Linked DNA regions of Saccharomyces cerevisiae S288C. The protein of the gene in region 2 purifies or fractionates together with the protein of the main gene of each other region. This does not show direct contact. Each region holds a gene or a part of one and is shown on either strand. Other genes may lie near its edges. The genes, in order: YGL140C and OCT1.

What was found.
Region 1: the proteins of OCT1 (region 2) and YGL140C purify together in Saccharomyces cerevisiae (affinity purification with mass spectrometry, with the first as the bait; one large-scale study listed by BioGRID). This does not show direct contact.

The regions. Positions count from the first base shown.
Region 1 is NC_001139.9:240,707-246,861, reverse strand, and holds YGL140C (uncharacterized protein), read left to right. Parts: upstream 1-1,849; coding exon 1,850-5,509; downstream 5,510-6,155. Other genes in the region: FLC3 (putative flavin adenine dinucleotide transporter), read right to left, coding at 1-1,146; ubiquitin-ubiquitin ligase HUL5, read right to left, coding at 5,777-6,155.
Region 2 is NC_001143.9:188,499-193,216, forward strand, and holds OCT1 (metalloendopeptidase), read right to left. Parts: upstream 2,945-4,718; coding exon 626-2,944; downstream 1-625. Other genes in the region: APL2 (Apl2p), read right to left, coding at 1-142; RCI50 (Rci50p), read right to left, coding at 3,181-4,572. UniProt on the Saccharomyces cerevisiae protein: Cleaves proteins, imported into the mitochondrion, to their mature size.

The DNA.
Region 1 (6,155 bases), on a different chromosome or scaffold from region 2:
ATATCTTAAAAGAGCACCTTTTAAGATCATTCTCCATTGTTTCCTGAATTCCCAAAACCTTGCCTTTTGGATCCATCCTAACCGGGTGGCTAACTCCACACAGCATTTGAATACTATGATAAATCCAGCCAACACATATCCACATAAGACGAAGAAAGTAAAACCGGTACAAACGATGGACGTATTTTCGATTCCCATTTTATAGCCTAGCCTTTTGATTCCTCTAAAAATTAATGTATTTGCATTACCATACAAAACATTGGTAGCTCTTTTGATTAATGGGAGCTCCATCAAATATTGCCAACTTCTTTGAGCCAAAACAGACATAGATGTTGAAGTCAGATATAAGCTAGGCGTACCACCAGTGGATTGCACATACCACCGGAAAATCCTTTGCATGAATGAGATTCTAATTAACCCCATTGACCAAACCAAGTTTTCCGCCCAGGCGGCTGCAATAGGCGGAACTCGATGAACATGTTGCATGGCAACCACGACAACAGATTGGAAGTATAAGAAAAGTGACATTGTGTTGGCAGAAATATGTGAGGCTGCGGTAGAGTTCCCAAAAGTGGATAAGATGGCAGATAGTAAAAGACCAATTCCCGCTACCACTGCAGTTGCCCATTTTACACCAATCTGAGAAACTGTTTTACCGTTTGAGAAGTATATTTGGATACATGCTAGGTACTCGCTCACATTGTTGGTGATCTTGACCCTGGCATATGCGTCGATATCGGGGACTTGGTATGCAATACCAGGAATTTCATTTACGTACTCACTGGAGATGTATTCAATAGAGTCGATCTGAATATTACCTGGGTGAACCGGGCAAAACTGTTTCCAGTTGATTGAACAAAGATCGACATTTTTAGTAATGATCTTGAAACCATATGCGTAGACATCAATATCAGCAAAAATATATGAATCAATTTGAGTTGACATATCAAGATCATAATGTAATGACCTGTCGTCTGGATTGAAAACAACGTCAAAACTATTTGCTGACAGCTGCGAGTTTTCCATACATGTGACCAATGATGTGGCTACCAGCTTCCTTTTTGCCTCTGCAAGATTTACTTTACTGGCTAACAATATTATTAGTCCAATTAATGCCGATGATTTATAAACCTGAAGAAATCTCATGCCTGTGAGGGGTATACTTTTCTAGTCTCCACTATTTGTTGTTGTTGTTGTTGTTGTTGTTGTTGTTGTTGTTGAAATTTTTTTATTTATGGCCCGCTCGTAAATAAAAAGACCTTTCTTAGCTATACTTTGCAAAGAAGTTTTCTAGTACCCACCAATGTTGATTGGCACTCTATAACGAATGACGTCTTCGAATTGTTTTGTTGTCTTTTGAGCGTTGATCTTCTGGAAAGCGGATGAACAGAAGCGTTTTTGAGTTAATTTGATAGCGTCCGTAAGCTAGTAAATGGCACGGACAGCAACAGTATTCAGATATTCTTTTATCCCCAATCCCAACGAAGACTACCTTTTCATAGTCAACAGTTAAAGGAATCAACTATTTGAAGCTAAAGCGATGGGCCGCTGCTAGGGAAAAGGAAGCAACCATTACCCTCCTCATAAAATTGATAGGTCTTCAAAAGGCTGAGACTGATAAGAACTACCAGTTTGATGTCTAAAGAAAGAAAAGAGAAATCCAGGATCTACCTTCATCTCTATTAACACCTGCTATCGAGAGGTTATAATTGTGGTTGTGGCCTAACTACGTATCATACACTATTTTTACTTTATTCCTATCCTATCCTGGAGTTCGAAGAGAACATATTTTCAAGCGAGAAAATCTTCCTTATCCTTTGCATCAATTGCTTGACTTCATTATTTGTCCATGTCGCTTAAATCAAAGTTGACTAAGATTCAGAAGTTATGGCTGTATTATTTCCCCTGTGACAGAATCCTCGCGAAGAGAATATGTAAATCGACTGTTAATACTACGGTAGCTTTCATATTTTGCTTGATACCTAAGATAACTGCGCATTTGGGAGCAGCTCCTGCGATGCTGCCAATGATTTCTGTTATTGTTCACCCTGGAAGAAGGGTCGGGGGTACTATCCATGGTGCTATCTATTGCATAACTGGATTGATATTTGGCCTAGCTTACGCAATCTTCGGCCGGTTCCTTGCGCAGCGATGTTTAGGGAGTTCTTGGCATGAGCTAACAGAGGCACAGCAGCACGTATTGCACTATAAAAGATATGAAGCGGGATTAGCAATTTTGGCTGTTTTCGAAGTAATTATGCTTTTTTTTCATGGTTGGATGAGATCTGTATCACACTATTACTTTGGTATTGTTTTCCCACTTTTTGTCGTGGTTCATTTCGCATTTATGGATCCTTTGAATGAAACAGCAGGCACTATTGCTAAAGCTTATAGTACGCCTTTCTACCTGGGTATTGCAATGTCGATTTTCTGGAATCTTGTGTTGTTTCCTGAGTGGGGTACCACATATTTGGGTAATACGACTATTGATGCTATGAATGAGCTCCATAAGTCCATTGACTATTCGATAAATTTCTTCATTGCAGTTGACCCGCACAATAGTAGCCAGTTGTACAGTAGAGATCCTGTTTCGTTAGGCAAGCTATTGAAGATGAAGTCACTGATTTCTTCTAAAGTTAACAACTGTCGAGTAGTACTTCACGAGTGCATTTATGAGTTTACTTACGCTTATGTTTCGCCAACTAAACTAAAGCCAATCATATCTACTTTGGAAAATTTGACAGTCTTCATTAATGGATTAGTTAATACATGCCAATTAGAATTTATTTTATTGGCAAGACATGATAACAAGCTCAGGCCTGATGATGTCGCAGCTTTGACACTGCCAAAGAACAAAGAAATCAGCTTTGCAAATGCTGAGAAGTTGTTGAAAGTTATTGACAAGTTGCATCCAGTGATTTATAGTCTACACCGGACAATGAGTGAATGCATGTACATAGCAAAGTTGGTACTTGCTCATGCATTTGATGTGAAAGTTTCAAGGGTTCATTCCTGCTCAATGTTCAAAGATGGTAACTTCCCAACATTCAGTAATAACGCCAATAATCTGCCCAATGATGTTGACATCCAGAACAAGATCAATGACCTGAAGCAGGCGTTAGAAGAATGTAAAGCAAAATTCAAGTCAGAAATGTTAAGTTTTGATATTGATATTATGAGTCCTAGTGATGAAATGTTTTTGTTGTCTAGCTTTCTACTAAATTTTAGGCAAACTGCAGATTCAACTTTGGTAATTATGGAGTCCGTCAAGGACATTTTAGTCAAACGTCAAATACAAGAGAAGAAGGGCTGGCTGAGAGGCAAAAGACTTTGGTTTTTAGTGTTGACCAACTACGAGACATTTTCTATCTGGTTAAAAGGCGATAGGAACTCAGTGACTGAAAATGATACATTAAAGGGTACGTTCAATGGTAATACTAATGGTTTTGCTCATGACACAGTTATTAGAAGGCCTGATTATGAAGAGAATGAACTTTTATCTCAAAAAGTTTCATCGAATAAGAACATTGTAAAAGATGATGCATCGCTAGATCTGCCAATGACAAGTGAACCCAAAGGAAATTCATCTTCTACCTCTGACACTTCTTCGTCGCCATTAACGTTAACGAAAACAACTACGTTCGGAACTAATAGAACTTCCAGGAGGCAAGGCAGATTTTCTTTTATGTCCATGCTTATTTCAATTGATAAGTTTTGTGAAGTGTCACATCCTCACTTTAGATTTGGATTTCAGGTAGCCATTGCATTAATGCTGGCTTCATTTCCGATGTTTATTCCAAAGACAAGGCAGTGGTACATAGACTATCGTGGTACCTGGATTGGTTTCGTGTGCATACTTTGTTTGGAACCTTCCGTAGGAGGTACGTTCTGGGTCTTCTTTTTGCGTGCTGTGGGGGTTATTTTTGGAGCAGCCTGGGGTTATCTTTCCTATGTTGCTGCTGTCAACCAAACCAATCCATATTTGGAGACAGTCATCACAGTTTTTGGAGCCATTCCTGGGTTTTACTATTTATTAGGCACACCCTATGTGAAGGCTGCAATTATTGAAATTATTAGTATTTATATTGTTATGCTTGCAGCAATACTTCCCTCCCAAGATGATATATTGACTAGTTTCGCCAAGAGATGTTTAGCTGTCGGCTATGGTGGAGGGGTAGCATTAATAGTTCAAGTCTTTTTCTTTCCATTGAAGGCACGGGAACAATTAAATGAAGAGATTTCTTTTGTCTGTGGCTGTATATCGGAAATGGAACTTCTCTACGCCACCGGACTGGAAGGAGAGCAAGTCGCAAGTAGTATGAGTGAAGAGAAATACAAAAAAATCGAAAAGATATCAAAAAGTGCTAAAGAGGCGTTAGCCCGTGCTACGGCCTATAAAGGACTAACCAGACAAGAGCCGAGATTAAAGGGTGAATATACCGAGTTGGAAAATGTTTTCACTCAAGTTATATTTATTCAGAAGCAAATAATAGAGAGGATAGATACAATTTCCTTGCTGAGAAAGCAAAATGGAAGTGCGGTTATTGAAGAATTTAACAGTGTTGTATATCCATATCGACGCCAAATGGTTGGAAGTATTTCTTGCCTAATGAGAGCACTTCAAGAGGCATTTATAAATAAGACCCCGTTACCGCAATTTTTGCCCAGCGCAAGAATTGCACATAGAAGGCTGATTAATAAAGTGCGCCAAACTCTGCGAATAAGATATCCTGGGCAGATTTCAAATTTAAGTGATAAAGCAAGAAAGCCAAATGAAGGAGATTACGCTGACGGCAAGGATGAAGATGACGATGATAACGAAGGTTTGGTAATGAAAATGAATAGAAGGGGACAGGCCAACACAACAGCTAATCCTCATGAATATGTTTTAAAAGAAAAATTTTTAAGTTGGAACGCATCTAGTGCTGCATCGGAAGAAATAATTGAGTATATTGAAGAGCTGTTGAATTTAACTAAAATTCTGGTCGGTGTAAATGAGTTTAAATACGGGTTTTTATCGCGTCCACTTTACGAGGACTGGGCTGCAGAGGCAGTAACAGGATTTGATAATTTCATTAACGGGAAAAGCAATCCTATGAATACACGGCGCAATCGGACCCCATTTGATGGTACTTCCATCATTTCCGAAGGAAATGAAAGTTTACAAAGTACAAATTCTAATGAATCTCAAATTTCTCCTGATTCCACAAGAAGTTATGAGCCGGAATGTCCAGTGGCATACGAAAAAAATGATAATCCGGCAGCGTTGAATTTATTACGGATTGCTTCTCATAAAGCAGGCCAAAACGCGGATGGCTTACCAAAGACATTTAGAAATAGAGCATTTTCCATTACTTCTACCTCCGGCCAACTTTCAAGCTTAAGCAGACACAGCACCCTTGGTAATGCGGATCCTAATTATCTGAACGATGATGATGAAAGCTCTGATGATGATTTGCCATTAGCTTTGAAAATGGTGCTAAGTCACATGAAAGAAAAGAAGGACTAAGATATTGAAAAGTCCTAATGTAAGATAATTACCAATTTCATATTCATTGTCGATTTCACTTCGCTTAAAGAATTTTTACTGTTTGTTTTTTGTAAAGCCTTTCCAATAAAAAATAGAATGATAGATAAAGGTCATAACTAGAATGGTGGCGAACAAAGCAAAACTTAAATTATCTCTGCATACAAGCGTATAATTTCCTTATCTATAGTAATATATAAGAACTAGAAATCTGCCTATTAATTAATTACCTCCCTAATCTTCTGGGAATTATGATAAGTCAAACCTGGCGCCTGAGTTTATTGCATATAATAATTTCTCTCTCAAAATTGTTTTGTTTCTATAATCTGGCAATTTTAATAAATTAACACAGGTAGATGCCGTAGGCAGCCTGTATTTCTCTGTCCCTGCATTTCTGATACCAAATTTTGGATCTAATGCCTTGAAGCCTTGCAGAGGAGCTTGCGGAACGGACGTGACAAATTTCAAAAAATTCAATTTCTCTTCAAACTTAAACTCATTCAAAACCTCCCAAAAATCAACAATTGTCTGATCTTCTTCTTTATAACCCCCGTATTCTGTGTTAGATTTCAGATCGTCTAAATCGATATTATCTCTCTCACCTGATATTAACATTTGTAGTTCTATA
Region 2 (4,718 bases):
TTATTGCATCTTTCCGAGTCTGTGGGTATTGAGATACTAATCCAGTTCTTAATTCACTTAGTTCACCCTTACCGGATATTTTTGGCGCAATTCTAATGGAGTCTTTTAGAAACTTCTTGATTCTTTTATCCAATGGTGGCATAGTTGAAACTGTTTTTTAAGTGCAGTGGGAAGCTGAGCAAAAAAAAAAACTAAGCTGCAGGAAGTGAGTTCGTACCCAGATAATTGGTGTATTATGACAATAAAGCTACAACAGATAACGCTTAGTCATTGGGAAAGTGTTCTTTATATCGTAGGCTTTCTTCACTGAAAAGAGCTCTTTCTGATATTACTACAAGATTTGAAACTCATAATATCATTCTGTACGCGAAAACAGTAGATGTGACAATAAGACATGAAGTATATAAAAGAATAACAATAATTATGCTCTGTTTGTAAAGCGTTAATTAACATATGCATGTTCGTTTTTCAGGCAATATGATCGATGGTTTTCAGACCCTTTTAAATAATGGGTCTTAGTATTTATAAGATTATGCAATTTTTTTTTCTTGGTGAAAAGAATTCTTCAGCTATGAATAAACGTCGTTGGCAAATAATGGCCTCGATTAAGCACCTACTCTGTTCTCTAAGACTTGTGAGACTGTGCTATAAATTCCATCGCATCGCTACCGCCTTTCTCTAGCATGGGGCATTCTAAAACATCAGCGATACATTTCCAAGGGTCTTTTAGCCCTCCCCATTTTAGTAAATGCTTTTTAAATTTATCACCATTTTTTCGACTGTACGGATCATCCTCGAAAAGGGCGTACCAGATTTTAGAAGCTATCGTCCTATCAAATAAGTAGCTGTAATAAGTTGCCCCGTATCCAAATAAATGGCCGAATCTTCCACACCAATTACTCTGATCGTCCACTAGGACCTTTAAACGTCGTTCTAGTGCTTGATAGTTTTCCACAACGTCAAAGTTATCAATATCAGAAATGATTTTTTCATCATGAAATGATTGATCCAGCATAGCCATCTTTGCTTGAGAGTATGTTTCACAATTTTGAAGGAAGTTAGTGCTTTTCATGAAGCGCTGTAACATATCAGCCTGAATTGTTTCTCCAGTCCCGTAATGTTTGCCAATCTTTGTCAGAATTCGTATATCCTTAGCGAAGTGCTCCATCAGGATACTTGGTAACTCTACAAAATCAGTAGCACATCTTGTACCACTTATGTTTTGCATATGAGTTCTCCCTAACATTGAGTGCATTGCATGTCCCATTTCATGGAAGAGCGTTTCAACTTCACTAAGCTGCAAAAAACAAAGACTTTTTTTAGAAGCGATTAGTATTGGAGAAAAATTACACACCAAAGAAATAACAGGTAATTGAAAGTAGGTACCGTCTGGATTCTCACCGACTTGGATGGTTGAGAAATCAGTTTCACTGGGATATATTTGCCTAGAGCAACAAACTGTGAAATGAGCCGGATTTGAAGTCTTGCCATTTCGTTCGAATAAATCACAATAAATTATGCCGATGATTCCTTCCTCTTCAGATATCACATTCAATCTTCTCACGTCTGGGGACCATGTTTCTCCCTCATCAGTAATTGCTGGCTCTAATCTAATACCATATATTTGCTGAAACAAATCTGACAAGCCCTGAATGACATTTCCTAATGTAAAATAATAGCTTATTTCTTTGGCATTGGGAGAGTTTGACGGGTTGAGCTGGAAATATTTGCCAGTATAGTAATCCCTATCCCATGGTCTCACGAGCTTCAATATTTCGTCCGTGTTTGTAGTCAACGGCTTCTTAAGATCTTTGGCCTTGAGTTCAGCTATAAATTTCAATTCATTTGCTGTCTTCTCTATAGTATTGTTCATTAACGTCAAAATAAAATCTTGAACATCTTTCGGATTCTTTGCCATTTTACCTTCCAATTGATACTCTGCGTAACTTGTTTTGTGCATTAAATTAGCCAAGATTGCCCTTAGTTTGATTAAGTGACTCAATCTTTTAACCTGTTTGTCAGAACAACTGTGAAGAGCGGTCCACAACTTTTTTCTTACCATCTCATTTTCACAACTTTTTAATAATGCATAAGCTGCATACCCAAATGTAGGTACTTTATAATTTTGCCCTTTTACATCTTTATTTAATTGCTTCAATAGAAATGTACTCACTTTACTATTATCCAGATCTTTACATGGTATCTTCACAGAATTTGAACCAGGATAGTCTGTATGGTTGATGAATTCTTGACCTACTAAACTGATTTCCTGAGATAACTGGATAAACTTTTCTCTAACATCTGGATTCATATAGATTCCTGACTTTTCAAAATCATCCAATAATATTTTACCAACTTTAAGTTCTTCTGCGCTTAACTTCGAAGACACTTCTGGATTGTTTAAAACCGACTTTAGTATGTTACATAAGGAAACATCAGTGTTCAAGACATTCATGAATTCAAACATTTGTTCATGGCAATCTTGTGCTGCCCTAACAAATGCATCATCTGGATGTGTTGACCTAATAAACTCGCACAAATCAATAACTCGACATAGCGTATCGCTTAATCTGTCCAGGTTCATAATATAGGTTAATTTACCACTCTCGCTAAAATCATTCCTCATTTTGTCGAGAAGTTCTTGTGCTTGCTGCAAAGAAACCTGGCTAAACTTACGCAAACCATCTGGAGAAGTCAAATAAGGGTTCTTGAAAAGTCCGGTTTTATTTTTTTTAAAAAGATATTGTGAGATCTTGCTATTATTAGCATCCTGACCATTAATATTTCTCCAATATGAATTGTCGTCGAAAATCTTCTTAATGCTTCCTGGACTGGTCCTAGAGACTGCGCCGGCTGTGGCGAAGAACCTGAGTAACTTATTTTGGCGGGAAGGTGACGGTATGGAGGCATTGGACCCGGCTTTCAATATTATCGTGCGAAGCATTACTGATATTACTTTCGGCGCCTTCACTTAATGTTCTGATACCTATTCCCTTACACATTTAGTCTTTGCAAGTAAATTCATCATTTGTTTTGATTTTGACGCTATATATGTATTTTTCTCACTTTTGTTCATGAGGCGGTGACGTAAAATTCGCCATATCCAATGAGGAATCGACATCTTTCGGCATTTCAACATATTGATGAAAATTTAGAAGAATATATATACAAATGTAAGATTTATATAGGCGTACCATCAACCTTTTTAAGTTCACGTTGAGCTTCCTCAATGAGTTCATTAAATCTAATCATCTCTGAAATACGAATAGCCTTTTTAAGTTCCTTCTTAGATGCCCTCAAGCGTCCCTTATGCAAATTTATCACACCAATACCGTAGTGAGCAAGGGATAATGCCTTAAGTATTCTCTGATCCATTTCGCTTTCCATTGCAACTTTTGGATATTGATTTTCATTGGCAAAGCTGATAATACTTTTATAGCAGTCAGCCGAGTACTGTAAGCAGGAATTCTGGTTTTCTTGTAACCTGGACCGAATAAGTTCTAAAGGTTCTGATTTTTTGTACGGTTCATTATCAATAGCGTATAGACTTCCTTCGAACTTCTCTGAATTTAGATAAAAAATCGACCCGAGCTCTGCCTGGGCAAGCAAGATGTCGTCCAGAGGACTATCCGCTAGTAACATCCATTCTAGTGTTGTTATTTTGCTATTCAAGGCCCCAGAAAGATTACTCCGATTGAGACAGTAACGAGTATATAAATCTCTTGCAGTCAGAAGTTCTTTCATGAAAACGCATTGTTCGCTTTCAGGTTCCTTTATCTTCAACTCCTGTTTTCTTTTAGAGTTTAAATGCATTTGGTAGTCAGGTTTGGATTTACCAATAAATGGTAGACCCTTGAAATTCTTCCAGTCAAGCTGTTGGTTGTTTAAAAGTTCTGATTTGGAAAGAACATTTTTGAACTCCGGTGAGTTCTCCAAAAATTCTCGTTGAGCTAATAAAAGGTGCATTATCAATAACGTTGCATTAGTTTCAGAGTCTTTATTTATTTCATTGAACCTTACCAAAATTTGAAGGTCTCTTTTCAACAAAAAGAATTTTCTCTTCGTTGACTTATCAGTAGTTTTGCTTAGTTCATTATAGAACTTTTTCAGCATGTCTCCATATAAAGCTGTAGCATCATTATACATATGTAATTTCTCATACATTTCTCCGATTTTGATTTCAATACCGGTATATTCATCCGAAAGTAGATCCACGTTTTCGGCTTTACATTCTTCTAAAGCTTCGAGGTAGTACTCAAGGCTTTTTTGGTAGTTCGCACCTTCTTTCTTAATTTCTGAATGTAACCCCTTCCTTAATATTTTAGCAACGGGTTTGGGAAAAGTATGATGTGGCCAATAAACCCACCATATGTTAAAAGCGATGAAACTTACGATGCCTGTCGATAACACCCATTTCTGTAATTTGCTCCTTCTTTTGAATGGTATTCTCCAAAAACTTTGTTCCTTTAATGTAGAATAAAACTTGAAACGGTGATTGGTAAATAAGTTGAGGTTAGTGAGCCGTTCTACGGTCCCTTCATTTTTGACTGATCTATGAAGGTATTTCCACATACTAAATGAGCATAAATTTCTTCATTACAATATCTTTATAATGCTGTTTTTACGTTCTCACTTTGTGCCCTTTTATATATCCTAAAGGATTTAGTTCAATTTTAGAAATTTTCGTGCGGCTGAGTATCCGCAAATCGTTCTTTGTT